2 linked regions of the Macaca mulatta genome follow. Each later gene encodes a partner of the first gene's protein in a complex. Links are inferred from orthologs where the notes say so. Each region holds a gene or a part of one and is shown in the gene's direction. Other genes may lie near its edges.

Evidence for each region.
Region 2: the proteins of PTPN6 (region 1) and KLRC1 are in contact, whole or in part, in an NMR structure (PDB 2YU7), measured with the Homo sapiens proteins. The link is inferred for Macaca mulatta from reciprocal best matches to the Homo sapiens genes PTPN6 and KLRC1. Residues at the interface, in NP_002822.2 of Homo sapiens: Gly117, Gly118, Glu121, Arg136, Ser138, Leu139, Ser140, Val146, Thr165, His166, Ile167, Lys168, Val178, Gly179, Gly180, Leu181, Glu182, Ile199, Glu200, Glu201, Ala202; in NP_002250.2 of Homo sapiens: Ile38, Thr39, Tyr40, Ala41, Glu42, Leu43, Asn44, Leu45, Gln46, Lys47.

The regions. Positions count from the first base shown.
Region 1 is NC_133416.1:7,927,095-7,930,913, forward strand, and holds part of PTPN6 (tyrosine-protein phosphatase non-receptor type 6), read left to right. Parts: intron 1-888; coding exon 889-1,078; intron 1,079-1,233; coding exon 1,234-1,350; intron 1,351-1,454; coding exon 1,455-1,568; intron 1,569-1,743; coding exon 1,744-1,840; intron 1,841-2,347; coding exon 2,348-2,427; intron 2,428-2,623; coding exon 2,624-2,773; intron 2,774-3,819. UniProt on the Homo sapiens protein: Tyrosine phosphatase enzyme that plays important roles in controlling immune signaling pathways and fundamental physiological processes such as hematopoiesis.
Region 2 is NC_133416.1:10,119,057-10,122,404, forward strand, and holds part of KLRC1 (NKG2-A/NKG2-B type II integral membrane protein), read left to right. Parts: intron 1-529; 5' UTR 530-560; coding exon 561-747; intron 748-1,137; coding exon 1,138-1,233; intron 1,234-1,744; coding exon 1,745-1,798; intron 1,799-2,315; coding exon 2,316-2,467; intron 2,468-3,348. UniProt on the Homo sapiens protein: Immune inhibitory receptor involved in self-nonself discrimination.

The DNA.
Region 1 (3,819 bases):
TGTCCCTGGGCTGAGGAAACCTCACAACCTCACTTCTCACTCTCTCCCCAGAAGGAGTTTTGTGTTTTTTCCATCACGTGGTTTCCTGTGGGGCAGGGCATTGTGGGGCTACAGTTTCCTCCTGGGAAAGGGGTGTGCTTTGGGGAAAGGGCTTAGTTCTGCTTTCTGCCCCGACAGCCCCTTTGAATCCCTTTGAACCCTTTTGAACCCTGGGCTCCCCTTCAGTGACATCATCCAGGGCACCCCAGAGCCCCCTACACCACTCTTTCCCCAGTGGGGTTGTCCTCCCCGCCTCCCTGGGGGAGCGCACCCCATTGGCCTTCCTTGTGACTTGTGTCTCTCTGTCCATCTCCCGCCACTCCCTGTGGTGTGGCCTTGGTCTGTGTTTCTCTTTGCCTCTGGTCTCTGCCGGGGCACAGCCTGATCCTTCATGGAGACTCTTCCTTAGTTTCCCTCTTCCAAATATTTGGAATATTGCCAGCCCTTCTGCCTTTCAGAGGTGGTCTCTGGGTTCAAAGCCTGGTCAGAATTCTGGGGGCTAAGATAGCTTGAGCCTGGGAGGTCAAGGCTGCAGAGAGCAATAACCGTGCCCCTGCACTCCAGCCTGGGCAACAGAGCTCGGGAGGCTTGCCTTGGAGTCCATCAGGGGCCCTAGGCCAGTGAGTAACAGCTCAGCGTCAGTTTCCTCATCTATAAAATGGGGGTAATATCATACCCAGCCCTCAGCATGTTTGTGAGAGGCATCAATACGATGGTGGATTTGGAACCATCTAGCGCAGTGCCTGGCCACAGTAGGTGCTTGATTTCCTGCCCCTCTCTGTGAATATCTTTGCTCAGCACCTTCCCCTGTGGCCTGGGTCTCACCTTCCCTGACGCTGCCTTCTGTAGGTGGTACCATGGCCACATGTCTGGAGGGCAGGCAGAGACGCTGCTGCAGGCCAAGGGCGAGCCCTGGACATTTCTTGTGCGTGAGAGCCTCAGCCAGCCTGGAGATTTTGTGCTATCTGTGCTTAGTGACCAGCCCAAGGCTGGCCCAGGCTCCCCGCTCAGGGTCACCCACATCAAGGTCATGTGTGAGGTAAGGCAGCCAGGTGGTGGGGGAGCCTCTGCTGAGGCTCCTGTCTGTGACCGCAGTGTGGGTGGCAGGGAGGGTCTGCCTGGGCTTGAATTCAAGGCTGGGGCTCAGGGAGGGAGACTCGAGCCCTGTGAGTGGCCTTATTTGGCTCCCTCCAGGGTGGACGCTACACAGTGGGTGGTTCAGAGACCTTCGACAGCCTCACGGACCTGGTGGAGCACTTCAAGAAGACGGGGATTGAGGAGGCCTCAGGTGCCTTTGTCTACCTGCGGCAGGTCAGGCGGGGACCCAGCTGCTTCCTCCCTTCCCCTGAGCTGTCCCCCAGGTGTGAGCTTCTGAGACCTCTGAGTTGCTGACTTCTCGCTCTCCCCTATCCCAGCCGTACTACGCCACGAGGGTGAATGCGGCTGACATTGAGAACCGAGTCTTGGAACTGAACAAGAAGAAGGAGTCCGAGGATACAGCCAAGGCTGGCTTCTGGGAGGAGTTTGAGGTGCATGGTGGGGAACTGGCAGGGCTGGGGCAGCTGAGGCGGTGGCGGCCGCGTGGGGCCCCAGGCGGACACCTTCCTCCCCTTGCCCACCTCTGCTCCTGACCCACCCCACGTGAGCTCCCCTGATGGGTGCTCTCTCTGGGAGGTGATGCTCATTTCCTCACCCACATCTCAGAGTTTGCAGAAGCAGGAGGTGAAGAACTTGCACCAGCGTCTGGAAGGGCAGCGGCCAGAGAACAAGGGCAAGAACCGCTATAAGAACATTCTGCCCTGTGAGCACCCAGCCTGCCCCATTCACCCAGGAGACCGCCCCACCCCAGCCACTGCCCCTGCCCCATTCACCCAGGAGACCTCCCCTGCTGCAGCCGCTGCCCCTGCCCCATTCACCCAGGAGACTGCCCCGCCCCAGCCGCCACCCCTGCCCCATTCACCCACCCAGGAGACCGCCCCGCTCCAGCCGCCGCCCCTATCTCACAGGTCTCCACCCTCCACTCCAGGAGGGGCCACCTCCCCACACCCCTTCTCCAAAAGGCCTCTACTCCTCCCAGAAGTGCCTCCCCACCATCAGCAGGCAGGCTGCCCCTTGCTCCCAACCTCCTTCTTGTGAATCCCCTCACTCCCTCCGTACAGATGATCCCCCACCCCTGCTGCCCACAGTCCCCCGCAAGCCTCATGGCTTCTGAGACCAGAACGGCCTGTTAGCTCAGGAGGGTCTGACGCAGGTGTGGTGAGTCCCTGGCTGACCCAGGCCATCTCGCCTCCTCTCCACCCACTCCCAGTTGACCACAGCCGAGTGATCCTACAGGGACGTGACAGTAACATCCCGGGGTCCGACTATATCAATGCCAACTACATCAAGGTCAGTGGTGTGGGTCATGTGGGAGGAGAGGCTGGGCCCTGGGAATTCCCTGTCTGGTGGGGGACCCTAGATCCAGAGACACCTGGGCAAAGCCAAAGCTGGCTTCTTGCATGGGTGAGGGGAGCAGTGGTTCAGGCCCTGTGCTGGGCTGAGGGGCTCACTGTTTTGGGGTGCGTCTCTCCACGCTTGTGTCCAGAACCAGCTGCTAGGCCCTGATGAGAACACTAAGACCTACATCGCCAGCCAGGGCTGTCTAGAGGCCACGGTCAACGACTTCTGGCAGATGGCGTGGCAGGAGAACACCCGCGTCATCGTCATGACCACCCGAGAGGTGGAGAAAGGCCGGGTAGGGCACCCCGCCCCATCCCCACATCCTTGCCCCGTCCTTGTGGTCATACCATTAAGTCAAAGAACCGTCAGATGCCAGAGCAGAAAGGGATCTCGGGGGTGAGGGTCCAGCCTTGTTGGGAAACTGAGGGCTAGTGACAAAGTCTCGACTACACGATGCAACCCCCAGATCCCTGCATGCACCCCTGGGCTCTTCTGAGCTCCAGACCCAGGTTTTAGGCTGTCCTCCTTCCTCCTACACCTTCCCCACCTGTCTGCATCCAGGCCCCTCCTGTCCTCCCTGCCCCATAGATGTCTGTGGAGTCTGCCCCTCACTCTGCAGCCTCCCCTTACACAGCACCCTCTGTGCTGCCGTTGAAGTGATGCCATCCGTGACAAACTGGGTCGAGTTCCTTCCCCTCTGAAATCTCTTCCATGGCTCCTGGTCACCTTTGGGATAAAGTCACACTCGAAGGCCTGGCGTTCAAGGCCTGGTGGTTTCCCTCTGACTCCCACGCTTCTCTTGAAGGCTCACCGCTTCCAGCAGCCGCGGCTCTTTCAGGTTCCCAGCCTTTCTTTGCACAAGCTCTTTTCTGCTAGGAAATGACTCTGTCTCCACACTGTCTCCGCCCGGCAGATGCCTCGTGTTTGAAGACACAGCTGAAGCGCTGCCTTCTCTGTGAATTCAGGTCTTGTTTTCTCCAGGACCTAGAGGGCGAGTTTCCTCGTTCCCAGCCACGCTCCTCAGCGCGGCGTCTCCCCGGTCACTTGTCTCTGTGAGCTCCTCCAGGCACAGGGGCACAGACTGGGTGTTAGCTGTGTCTGTGACTACAGCCTGGTTTGCACGGCTTCGGGGACAACGCCTGCCTCGGCAATGTTTGTTGAATGACAAATGGATGTACCAGTAAAGCGGCTGGCCAGGTCGCACCACCTGTTGGTGGCTGATCTGAGACGAGAGCCCAGGTCTCCTGCCTCTCTGCCAGCTCATCTATCCATCCAACAAACGTTTGGGCCGGTGCCAGGCACTCAGAACCTAGAGCGGGACCTGGGATGGGCCACAGCGCC
Region 2 (3,348 bases), about 2.2 Mb from region 1:
ATTGCCCCAGCAATAATATTTTGTCAAACGTAGAAATTTCTCTCTTTTTTTTTTTTTGAGTCAGAGTCTCACTCTGTCGCCCAGGCTGGAGTGCAGTGGCACGATCTCTGCTCACTGCAACCTCTGCCGCCCGTGTTCTAGCGATTCTCCTGCCTCAGCCTCCTGAGAGTTGGGACTACAGGCGCCTGACATCGTGTCCGGCTAATTTTTGTATTTTTAGTAGAGACGGGGTTTCACCGTGTTAGCCAGGATGGTATGGATCACCTGACCTTGTAATCGGCACGCCTCGGCTTCCCAAAGTACTGGGATTACAGGCATGAGCCACCGCGCCCGACCCAAAAATATATTTTTTAAAACAAATATTTTACCATAAGAAACTTGTTTAGGCTTGAAGAAAATTAGAGAAAGAACTTTAGATTCTTTAATGCAAAATGAGCTCCAATACTCGTTCTCCACCTCACCCTTTTAACTGCACTAGGGAATATTGTATATAAACCATTTATTAACTTCTTAACTACGGTTATTGTAGAGTACAGTCCCTGACATCACACACTGCAGAGATGGATAACCAAGGAGTAATCTACTCAGACTTGAATCTGCCCCCAAACCCAAAGAGGCAGCAGCAAAAACCTAAGGGTAATACAAGCTCCATTTTAGTAACTGAACAGGAAATAACCTATGCGGAATTAAACCTTCAAAAAACTTCGCAGGATTTTCAAGGGAATGACAAAACCAATCACTGCAAAGGTAAAGCATTTAAAAGATCCTCAATATAACAGTCTAGGATGTGCAGCTTGGGGTACAGGGATGTGGGGAAAGAGCAGGGAGTACTCACATGTTTTCTATTTGTAAAGATCAGAATTTCAAGTTGAGATATGCTATTTCAATATAAAATATGAAGACTGATTTAACTCATTGTTGAAATGTGTAGTCTTCGTCAAAGAATTCATGGAGCATTATTTTTACTGAAAATGCAATGGTATATTATTCTGAGAAAAAGATTACAATGGGAGATGAGGGTTTGGGGTCCAAGTTTCTCCGTATGATTCCTGTGCATTCAGGTTCTTTTGTTTTTGAATCTTCTAAATAACTATGTCCACCTCTCCTTTCGCACTGTTCCCATTTCGCTCCCTGCAGATTTACTCTCAGCTCCAGAGAAGCTCATTGCTGGGATACTGGGAATCATCTGTCTTGTCTTAATGGCCTCTGTGGTAACAATAGTTGTTATTCCCTGTAAGTCTATTTTAGAAGATTACAAGGGGAATTTTCACGTTAATGATTGAATGTGCCTCTATACATTTCATATTTTCAGGGAATAGAATTCTCATTGTAATGTATATCTTTGGACTGAATGTGGAATGGTCATTCAGAATTTGTCAAAGAATAAATGAAAGAATAATTGTTGAAAGTATTTGCTTCCGATGCAATTGCATGTATATATTTTGATTTCATAACTCAAAAATATGTTTGAGGAGTCTGAAAAACCTTACTGAGAAATAGAAATTAATTTTTGAAAGTAGTTAAATCAAGAATTATAAGAACCATATGAGAGGGTGAAATTTGGTTCTTTAGATCTATGAAATACTTTTCCAAAAAACCATTATTACTTTATCAAATTTTTCTTAAAATTATTTTTATTCCATATTATTCTAACTCTAACACAAAAAATTTCAAACAAAAACTTAAAATTATTATGATTGATTTAGATGCTAATTTTTAAAAAAGATTACTTTAATTTTTCTAGCTACATTAACACAGAAGCACAACAATTCTTCCCTGAATACAAGAACTCAGAAAGGTATATAATAATTTTTAAAGTTTTAATATTGTACAGTTTACTTTTTCTTGATCTTAGGCTGTACAAAAATAAAATTTGGGGTGAAAAATTATAAAATTTGGCAATAAATGTTCATAAATAAAGATTAGAGTAAGGCATTCCCTTGTCATCAACTGTAAGTAAAATCACTATACTTTGTTTTTATCTATTGTGTTCAAATTCTTATTGCTATAAGATACAAGTTATTTATTGCTCCTTAAAAATCAGATTAGTTCATTGATTTTCAACACATGTATAGAGTAGATTTTTGTTTGCTGGTTTGCTTTATATGGGAACACAATTAGGAGATGAGAGGTTGACCCTTTATTGCGCATATGTATATAAGTGACTGGGTATTTTCAAACTACATATTTACCAGCCTCTGAAGATGCATAGATATGTTGCATACATATAGGTTTATACATTTGCAAATATGTTAAAAATTTTTCATTTTTAAAAATTCATATGAGTCTAGACAGTAATTCATATCTTTATTTAGCACGTCACTGTGGCCATTGTCCTGAGGAGTGGATTACATATTCCAACAGTTGTTATTATATTGGTAAGGAGAAAAGAACTTGGGCAGAGAGTTTGCTGGCCTGTGCTTCGAAGAACTCCAGTCTGCTTTCTATAGATAATGAAGAAGAAATGGTAAGATGTAAATGTTATAAGCACTTTATGAAAAGCTTATTTCGGTCAATAATATATTTGTAGAAATCATCCATATGTGTGGGTATATATATTTAGCTTATGTTTTTAGTAGGGAGTAGCTTATATGTTTTCAAGTTTATGTAATAGTTAATTGATTGACTTAATAATGTTTAAAAATGCATATACTGCTAACTTGCTTTTGATTATTTTCAGTTTTTGCTTTTCATGGAAAACCATGCTGCTATAAATGCTTTGAATCCACAATAAATGTTGCTATCTAATTTTATCGGGCATGATATGATCTGGTCATGCAGATTGATCACAAAGTGAATGAACTCCTGTGATACAAGTCAGATCATGAAATAACAGTTTCCAGCTCTAGCAGTTCCACCCCTGTGTGTGCCCTCATCACTTATCCTGACTCCTCCAAAATATTGTCTTGACTTTTAATGTTATAAATAACATTTGCCTGTTTTTGAATTTATATAAAGGGAATCATACAGTGTGAATTTCATGTCTGTGTTTTTCACTCCTATCTGATATTTGTGCAATTCCTCCATATTATTGCAGTTATCAGTAGTATGTTACTGTTCACTGCTGTACTATGTACAAAGAACACTAAGAATCCATTGAGTCCTTGTCTCTGGGTGGGGAAGTGGGTCTCCTGCCCTCAGGGACAAAGAGGACCCTGGGTGGTGCACCGGTTGTCATTGGATCGCTTTGCTGATCCTCCTCACCCACATCCACTCTGGTGTCTCTTGGAATGAGAAGGAAGCACTTCCTCTGGCTGTATTGATAGCAGGTCTCCTGGTAGCTCATCCTTGCCGGTGGTACCAGCCTCGCCTGGTGTTGTGGAGGGGACTCCCCTTCAATACCCTCCT